Linked DNA regions of Arabidopsis thaliana. The protein of the gene in region 1 purifies or fractionates together with the protein of each later gene. This does not show direct contact. Each region holds a gene or a part of one and is shown on either strand. Other genes may lie near its edges.

Region 1 (4,305 bases):
TCAGAAAAACGAGAATATTGCAAAACTGGAGCACTAAAAAGGATCCGAGTAGGGACTATTCAAAGCAAACTCTACCCTGCCTGGATTTTATTTGGAGCAAATAATATAAGTTTGGGCTTTTCGTAAATATAAGTTAAGTGGGCGTTGGCCCGTATATCGCCAAATCGAGTTATGTCATGTGCTCCGTAAAAGTCCCACATCGCTTGCCTAGAAACTTAACTTCTTGAATATATAAGACTGTGAGAGCGTTGATGGTCACGACCTTACTTGAACAGGATCTGTTCTATAGGCTCGTACCTCTGTTTCCTTGATTTCTCAAGAGACAGGCCTTTTACCCTGGTTGATGAACCATGACCGTGCGGCTAGAGCGTGATTGACGGCCACGATCGTCTTCGGACGCATCCGGTGCTGTAGAGGATCGTTACTCGGCTCGGTTCTACCTTGCCGGGGTGGTCGCACGGCGGTCTGACAGGTCCCTTTCCTTCTTTTTTTTTTTTTCCTTTCTCCGGTTTTTTTTGCTCTGTTTTGAGGTCTATTGAACACTCGCTAAATTAAAAATAAAAACATATATGATTGTAGGTGATATTAGAGTCTCTTTATTTCTAATCTTTTTGTTATAAAGCTGTATGACTCTGCTTCTCCTTGTAGTTTACAATCTCTGTTTCATGTTCTTTGACAAAAAAAACTTGAAAAGTGGAATTATTTGTTTCATTACAGATAGAATCAGCCAAAACACAACTACTAAATCAAAGTTGTTACAGGCTTTATTAATGTCTCCTTTTTTGTTTGTTTCTCATCTTAAGCCAAACCAAAGGTTGAAACACCGAGGAAAAATCTCATATCAAATTTTAGGCCAAGCCTACGAGCTTCTCGCTGACTTCCCAAACTCTACGAGCCTTCTCGACATCGCTAGCTTCTTGAGACAGCTGATTCTCAAATGAAGCCGAGGTCTTGTTCCAGCTCCAATACACTCCCGACTTCGTCAAGCTTGGATCAGCCACCACCTTCAACAAATCAATACATAGGTTGAGTACATAGCAAGAATAATAAACTGAAAGAATGGTTTCTTGCGTCACAAACAACGTTAGGTTTTGGTTAATTTTCTAACCTGAGCAAGTCTTTTCCCAGCCTCTGACTCGGAGACGTAACCTTTTGTGATGTACTTCTGGAAAGGAGGGAAGAGGGTACGGAAAAGAGGAATATGCTCTCTGAACAAACCAGTCGTTGCAATACAACCGGGGTAAAGGGAAGCAAAAGTTATGCCGGTGTCTTCATGGAAACGCCTATGAAACTCCTGCATTGTCAACATGTTGCAGACTTTGCTATCTTTATACGCCTTTGCGCCAACAAAATCTCCTCCATCTATCATCGCCGAGCTGTTTAGCCCGTTCAACCCGCCTGCTAGTCCCCTCAAATCACCAAGATTAGCCTTTGGAGGTACATTACCAGCCAATGTATTAGTGTTTCCTGCTCAATAAGAAACAAAACGAATAAGATTTCAGATTTAGGGTTTAGAGTAAGTAGTAAGTACATAAAGCATTCTTCTTATGAGGAGACTACAGACCGGTTATGGATCCAACAATGATGAGACGTTTTGATGGATAATCGGAGTTCTTCAAGTCATCAATCAACAATCTTGAAAGAAGAAAGTGGCCCAAATGGTTTATCCCAACGCTAAGCTCAAACCCTTCAGCAGTGAAAGTAGGTTGATTAGCCGTTGGCTGATAGACTGCGGCATTGCAGACCAACACATCGAGAGGCATCTCAGCTCGCCTGAAGTTATCAACAAACTGCCTCACGCTGTCCAAAGACGCCAAGTCCAAATGCATCACAGTGTAGCTGTCCTTAGGCATCCCTGCAGATTGAGCGGCTCTCTCAGCCTTGAGGAAGTCTCTGCACGCCATTATCACGTGCCATTTACCTGTCTCGGCTAATGCCTTTGCCGTTGCTAAACCTAGCCCTGAAGAAGCTCCCGTGACAACCACGTTTCCTTTTCTAAGTGTTTTCTTGCGGTCTAAGGAAGATTTTGTGACTGATGGAGTTGAAGTCGCGATTGCTTGAGCTCGAATAATCGCTTTATTATTCCTCAAGCTCTGTTCCCTCTACAAAGTAGAAGCATTTCAATTGATTAGATTATTACATCATTTTCCAAGAAAAATACTCATAAAAGATTGTGTTTGGTACCTTGCATCTCAATGAGGAAGAGACAAAGTCAGCTTTGCTTTGCTCCGAAAGTGAAACACCGAACAGACTAGACTCTTTGAATGATGATGATGCTGAAGCATTTAATTTTCCCTGCAACCAAAACATGCGAATTAATCTCCGAGACAGGTCATAAACAAAAAGGAAACGATTACTAAAACAAAGAAAGAGATAATAAAATACATCTTTGCGGACAGAGAAAGCAGAGGAGACCAAAGAAGCAGCTTGAAGGGCCATTGTTTCGTTTAAGACTTAAAGAGTGTAATGTGAATGTTATGCAAATGTCTGTGCTTGCGTGAGTTTATATAGAAGTTGAGACAAGAGAAAGGTGGTCCCCTCCCATATGTGTTTCCTAGGATATGTGTGGATAAGATTATCTTTAGGGAAAGTTTTTGTCAGTTTCTTTTCTTAAAGCCAATGATAATTCGAGAATTAGATTTTCTGTCAGTAGATATTTTAATGTATAATTTCATGGGACTCCATCTCTTTGTGTATGGGAGGATTAACAGAGAGCTAGAGCCCTAGAGGTATGAAACAAAATTATACTCTGACTTGTTATGGACACTCTGATCTAAAGATAAAACTGTTCATTGAAATGATGAATTGACAAAAATACCCAATTATTTTACATGTAAAGATAAACCTAAAGACAATTACAAAATGTGTATACAAAAGTTTACCATATATTCTCTCCTTGAAGAGTTATAATATCAGAGACAAATTCTACAAACTTCAAGTTGAATAGCACAGACTTTCATCGAAGCAAACTATATTGGTATATGAAGTTTCTTTTTCTGCCTATTTGAATCTTTCTTAAAAATAACATTATATATATTTGCTAGAGATTTGAATTTTAGAGATAACAAATCAGATAAATAAAAGAAGCGTGGTAAAAAAAAAAAACGAGAGAAGTCAGTGGATGAACCAAACCTTCTCTCAATCTATACACTTTTGACAGGAGATGGTTTTACTAAGGGAAAATTTCACTTTGCCTTAGGATTTTGATATTGTAAAACCTTCTCCTTGCATCATAGACGAACTGGAAATCCAAAATTCTGAAATATTCTGATTTCGCCTCGTAGACTGCCAGTCACAATCACCATAGACCACGCCGAGGCACTCGGTTTTGTGTTAACCTGTATGTTAGACATGTCCACGCTCACACGAGGGCTTGTTCTGGCTCGGTTTTTTGCAGCCAGCAAGAGTTTTTCTTCAGGCCATGTTGCTGAGACTCTATCGAAGAAGTATCGGTTTGTGGCGCTTGAAATGATACCGTTGGTGACGGTTTTGTTGTTGGTTGGATCGTTGACAGGTGTCGGAGGGTTATTATTGGCTGTGAAGGATGACTGTTCGGGGCTGTTGTTAGTGTGGTTGTTACTGATTTTGCCAGGCCAAGGTGCAGCCACAGAGACGTCACGACAATAAAAGTTTTCGTATGAGTTTGTGACTGTGACACGTTTGCTTCTTCCTGCTCGAGAGTCTGAGTCGTAGTTCCATACATACACATTAGAGTCTTCGCTTGCTGATACTAGGAATTTCCCGTTTGATGTAAGTGAAGCCGAGATTTGGCTATTCGTGTTGCGAAATCCTGCGAACCCGAAAATTTTCTAAAACTCAGAAAAACACACATTACTTGGCAAGAACGTTGAGCTTATTTTACTCCAACACCAGATCAAGAAAAAGCGAAAGAACATCATGTTCATGAAATGTGGGACTCATGTGTATCTTAGATGACGATAGAGCGAGAAATTCACCTCCATGAACAATAAAGTTATTCCTAACTCCCGAGTTCTAAGAATGGAGAAGAGAGTTTTAAGCTTAGTATTGTTTACCTTTAAACTTGTGAACAAGGTCAACACCATCAACAACACGCGTACGTGAATCTGCAGATGTGACGAGAACTTCCGATGAACTTCCTGCCACAAACTGTGAAAGTTTCACGAGAATAGTCAGATAAACCAGTACAGCATCCAAAACAAAATTGTAGTATAAATGAAAAGATGAGAACAGAACGGTGTAAGTTGTTTTAGCTTTACCTGAAAACCAGTGATTTTCTTGTGATGGGTTTTCTTTTTCCTGTTCTTCAGATTGATTTCGCGTCTC
Region 2 (4,213 bases), on another chromosome or scaffold:
GAGTCCTGACGATACGGATTGGAGGCCACCGGCCACCACCTAGAGACTTATTTTTATAAAGACTTTGTTAAATAAATGTAGGTTGAGACTTCAATACTAAGGCCCAAAATTAAAGCTCAAAGTCTAATCCCATCTATTCATCAAAAGCCCAATCTATTTTAGGAGTTTCTTAAAAGAAAATTATTGGTTGTTCTGTTTTACAATAAATATTTTTGTTTCTAATATGCTTGTGGTATTCAACATGTATAATTATTTATTTATGATTTCTAACTATAACCAAAGATTCATATACTTTAGCCAATTTCCTCATATATAAATGGGAAAATGTCAAAAAAATCACGAACTTTCAAATTTAGGACGATTCAATCTTGAATTTCACGGAAGACAAATAAATCGTAAAGTTTTTGTTCACTTTCTAAATAAATGATAAAGTTTTTGTTGAATTGTCATTGGAGTCATGTCGTTGAGTAGGTTAACATAATTATTTTACGGCGTTAATGTCTCGTTTATCTCCTTTGTTAGAACAAAACAACATTGTTTATTGCAACTCGTTTTGTCCGTTAAAACAAATTTAAACCCTAAATCCCCAAATCGATTTCAATATCTGCGATTTTGAGGTCAAAGTAAGTCTGTGATTTTGAGATAATGAAATCGATTTGAGAATTTAAGGTTTCTATTTGTTTCAAAAGACAAAGCGACGTCGTTTTATTTTTTGGGCAAAGACTTAATTACTCTCTCTCTTTAACTATAGTGATAGTTGCTAAATACACATCGGACAACTCGTTATGGTTGAGTATACACATTAGAGAGTTTTATAGAAACCACAAAATCATTACTACTCTCTATACAAATTTTCATATTTCGAGGCATTTCTCATATTGAAAATAGCTAAATTGCATATTTAACGTCAACAATACTCGAATGTATTCATTTCAAAAACACTACATTGTTTTTTATTATTATTTAAAGAGTAAACAAAGGAATCCACACCATATGAACCAAATTGGTCCCTAAAGGAAGATGGAGAATCAGTAGAAATAATGATTGTTAACGAACTGAGAAGCGGTTGCAAGCGCGCCACCAAGAATGGCATCGATCACAATAGTGTCTTTGCCTTTCTTACCAACCGCTGAGAGCACTGCTCCTGTCGCCGCGCCTGCTAACATTGCGTTTTTCTGATACAAACAACTCAACCAATTAGTTCTACAAAACTGTAAGAATTGAAAAGAGTGTGAAAATGTATTAGTAGTATACCCAATCTCTGCTGCCACGGATACGTTCGATTCCGTATTCTGTTCCAATGTACACTCCACCAGCAGCTCCTGATCATATTCATATGCCACAAACTTTAGACTTTTCTTAATCACTCAAAAATGAGATAAATTAGAAAGCAACTTACCCCAGTAAACACCTTCTTTACACAACTTCTTAAGCTGCAACAATATTCAACAAAAATTTCAGAAACTTAAAAAAAGATTACACATGTCTTCAAACCAAAACACATAGATTTGATTCAGTAGTGTACTCACCGCATGCTCCAAAGTGCTCTTGGAGAGACTCCCTACAATATATGAACCATGGAGTAAAAAATGATATTTTGCAGCTCCAACAAACAAAGGTAATTAATGATAAGCACAAAAACAGATCCATCAAAGGTGTGTGCTAGTTGTTCTATATATATACAATACATTCTTCTATGCCTTTACTAATTCATCAACATCACCAAAAACACAACAGTAAAGTTACATAATAAAACTAGACAGAACAAGAACTAACACTTATGTGTTGTGTTTGATAAAGTTAAGGGCTTACCTTTGTCGATGGCCTTGTAAGTGTCTTCTGCAAGAGATTTAGTGACTCCAACCTAAAACCCATCAAAGAAGAAAACAACAATGAGAAACAGATCACAAATTAACAAAATGATCCATCAAAAAGAGATGAGTTTTTTTACAGCTCCGATCTTGAGGAAGGCATCAACGGTGAGATTGAGAAAAGGGTTTCCCATGTCCACTGCCACCGACAGCTTCGGCGTGCTAACAGTCCCGGAGAATGTGCTTGAAGGCATCTTTTCTTCTTCTTTCTTCCTCTGTTTTTGGTTTTGGGATATTTTTCTCTTTGATCTTTGCTTGTTCTGTAACAAGTTCACCTATTTCTTGGGATATAAAGGGGCTTTTAACGGTGGATATTTTAAACTATGGTTCAACGGTGGAGAAGAGATTAACAAGGACCCACGACGAGATATGTATTGAGCAATGAGCCAGTTAAATGACGACATTGTCCTCCTAGGCTAGAGCCATGCCAAAAATCCAACCCACAAGTCTCGTGATCTCTTTACAACGACACTTGCCGACGTGAGCTCTAACTTGCCGACGTAAATAATGGAATAGAGTAAAAAGACACAAATTAACACCAAGTATCTCAATAGTGTTATAACACAAGCTTGAAACAAACAGACCAAACCAGAGTATGGAGAGTGAAAATACAAAGACATGTTTCAACACAAATCAAATCCAACATACAAAGACATGTTTCATTATTGTACATAACATTGATAAGAGAGAAATGGAGAGTGAAAATGGCTCATATAGATCGATTTCCTACTCTCGCTCTTTCCTGTGATGACGTTTCCTGCTCTTCTTCTCAGACCGCTTAGAAGAACCACGTCCAACGCGTGAAACATCATCGCCTGAAACATTTGCTTCTGAGTCAGAAGAAGCTGCGACTTTGTTCCTCCGCTTCTGTCTTCTATCATCTTCAGAAGACTCTGAATCAGAATCATCAGAATGATTACGACGGCTTCTCCTTCTCCTCTTCTCCTTTCTACTCTTTCTCTTCACACGTCTGTCATCTTCATCCTCAGACTCATCAGAATCATCTTCATCTCTCTTTCTTCCTCTCCTCTCCTTTCTTCTCTTACTCCTTCCCTCTTCCTCATCCTCAGACTCACTCAAACTCCTTCTCTTATGCGAACTCCGCTTCTTCATCGACCTCCGCCTTCTCTTCCTATCTCCAGAATCCGAATCAGAATCAGACTCATCAGAAACACGCTTCTTCTTCTTCCTAACCGAACTCGTCTTCTTAACACTACTCCCACCTTTCTTCTTCCCAAACCTCTCAGCAATAATCCTCTCCATCTCAGAATCAACATCAGAATCAGAACTCTCACTCTCCTCTTCCTCTTCACTACTCACCTCCTCAACCTCACCTTTACCAACACCTCTCCTAATCTTCTCCAACCCCGACAAAACCGCAGCTTCAATCGCACCAGGATCTTTCTCCTTATCCTCCTTAGTACTCAAGAAATTCCTACACTGAAACGTCAAATGCCCAACACGGCCACACTTCTTACAAGAACCACGAGCCTCATCGTTATTCGAACCCGTAATCCTAGCAAGAGCCAAAAGTCCCTGAAAACTCGCGTACGAGTTCTCGGGATCTTCGGTTTTCTGTTGTGTCGTCTTAGGCTCTTCTTTACTAGTTGGTGCATAAGGATCATAACCAATCGCACTCTGCCATATTCCATGAGTCTGAAGCGCTGCACTACTATGCACCCGATTGTTTGCGGGCATACGCACTCTTCCTGCTGTCGCCGGCATCTTTTCGAAACCCTAGAAAAAACCTTCACAAACCTAAACCAATAACAGAGAAATATAGATTGATTAATACCTAACCAAATCAATATCTTCTCCAAAATACAATTACACAGAAATTTCACAACCCAATGAAATTACCCAGATTAAGCTGAAATCTAGGGTTTCAAGCCCCAAATCATCAAAAGCTCACATACTAATTTGCCGATTAAAGGGATAGATCCTAAATGTGAAAGAAAAACTCAGAGATCCTAGGGTTCCAATCGATCCTAAAGAGAAAGAGAAGAGTAAATAGTTTACCTGATTCGAGTGAAGGAATCGTTAGGAAGAAGCGACGGAGAGAGATGGATGAAGAAAAGGTTCAAACTTTGTTCTTCGCCAATGGCCTCTGAGGCAAAAAGGAAAGATTGGAAAGTCTCGAGGGTATATTATAAAGATTGGGAAATAGTTGGAACCGCCCTTTAGCTTTTGTTATTTTACATTTATATCCTCCAAATTTTGTGTATTTCATCATTTTTAGTTTTGTCACATAATTCGGCTGGGCCTGGCTGCGTTGAGAGGGATTTGGGCTGGGCCTGGCTGAGTAGTTAATATGTGTTTTTCTTTTTTACTGCTGTAATCAT

Evidence for each region.
Region 2: the proteins of PORA (region 1) and OEP16-1 fractionate together in Arabidopsis thaliana (co-fractionation; one study listed by BioGRID). This does not show direct contact.

Annotation. Positions count from the first base shown.
Region 1 is NC_003076.8:21,990,335-21,994,639, forward strand, and holds PORA (protochlorophyllide oxidoreductase A), read right to left. Parts: upstream 2,481-4,305; 5' UTR 2,440-2,480; coding exon 2,386-2,439; intron 2,296-2,385; coding exon 2,185-2,295; exon of another isoform or gene 2,103-2,184; coding exon 1,565-2,102; intron 1,468-1,564; coding exon 1,109-1,467; intron 1,005-1,108; coding exon 849-1,004; 3' UTR 530-848; downstream 1-529. Other genes in the region: AT5G54200 (Transducin/WD40 repeat-like superfamily protein), read right to left, coding at 3,231-3,790, 4,035-4,128, 4,239-4,305. UniProt on the Arabidopsis thaliana protein: Phototransformation of protochlorophyllide (Pchlide) to chlorophyllide (Chlide). PORA may also function as a photoprotectant during the transitory stage from dark to light.
Region 2 is NC_003071.7:12,413,395-12,417,607, forward strand, and holds OEP16-1 (outer plastid envelope protein 16-1), read right to left. Parts: upstream 2,268-4,213; 5' UTR 2,066-2,267; coding exon 1,952-2,065; intron 1,865-1,951; coding exon 1,813-1,864; intron 1,562-1,812; coding exon 1,530-1,561; intron 1,434-1,529; coding exon 1,400-1,433; intron 1,323-1,399; coding exon 1,255-1,322; intron 1,176-1,254; coding exon 1,029-1,175; 3' UTR 714-1,028; downstream 1-713. Other genes in the region: CXIP4 (CAX interacting protein 4), read right to left, coding at 2,598-3,596. UniProt on the Arabidopsis thaliana protein: Voltage-dependent high-conductance channel with a slight cation-selectivity; selective for amino acids but excludes triosephosphates or uncharged sugars.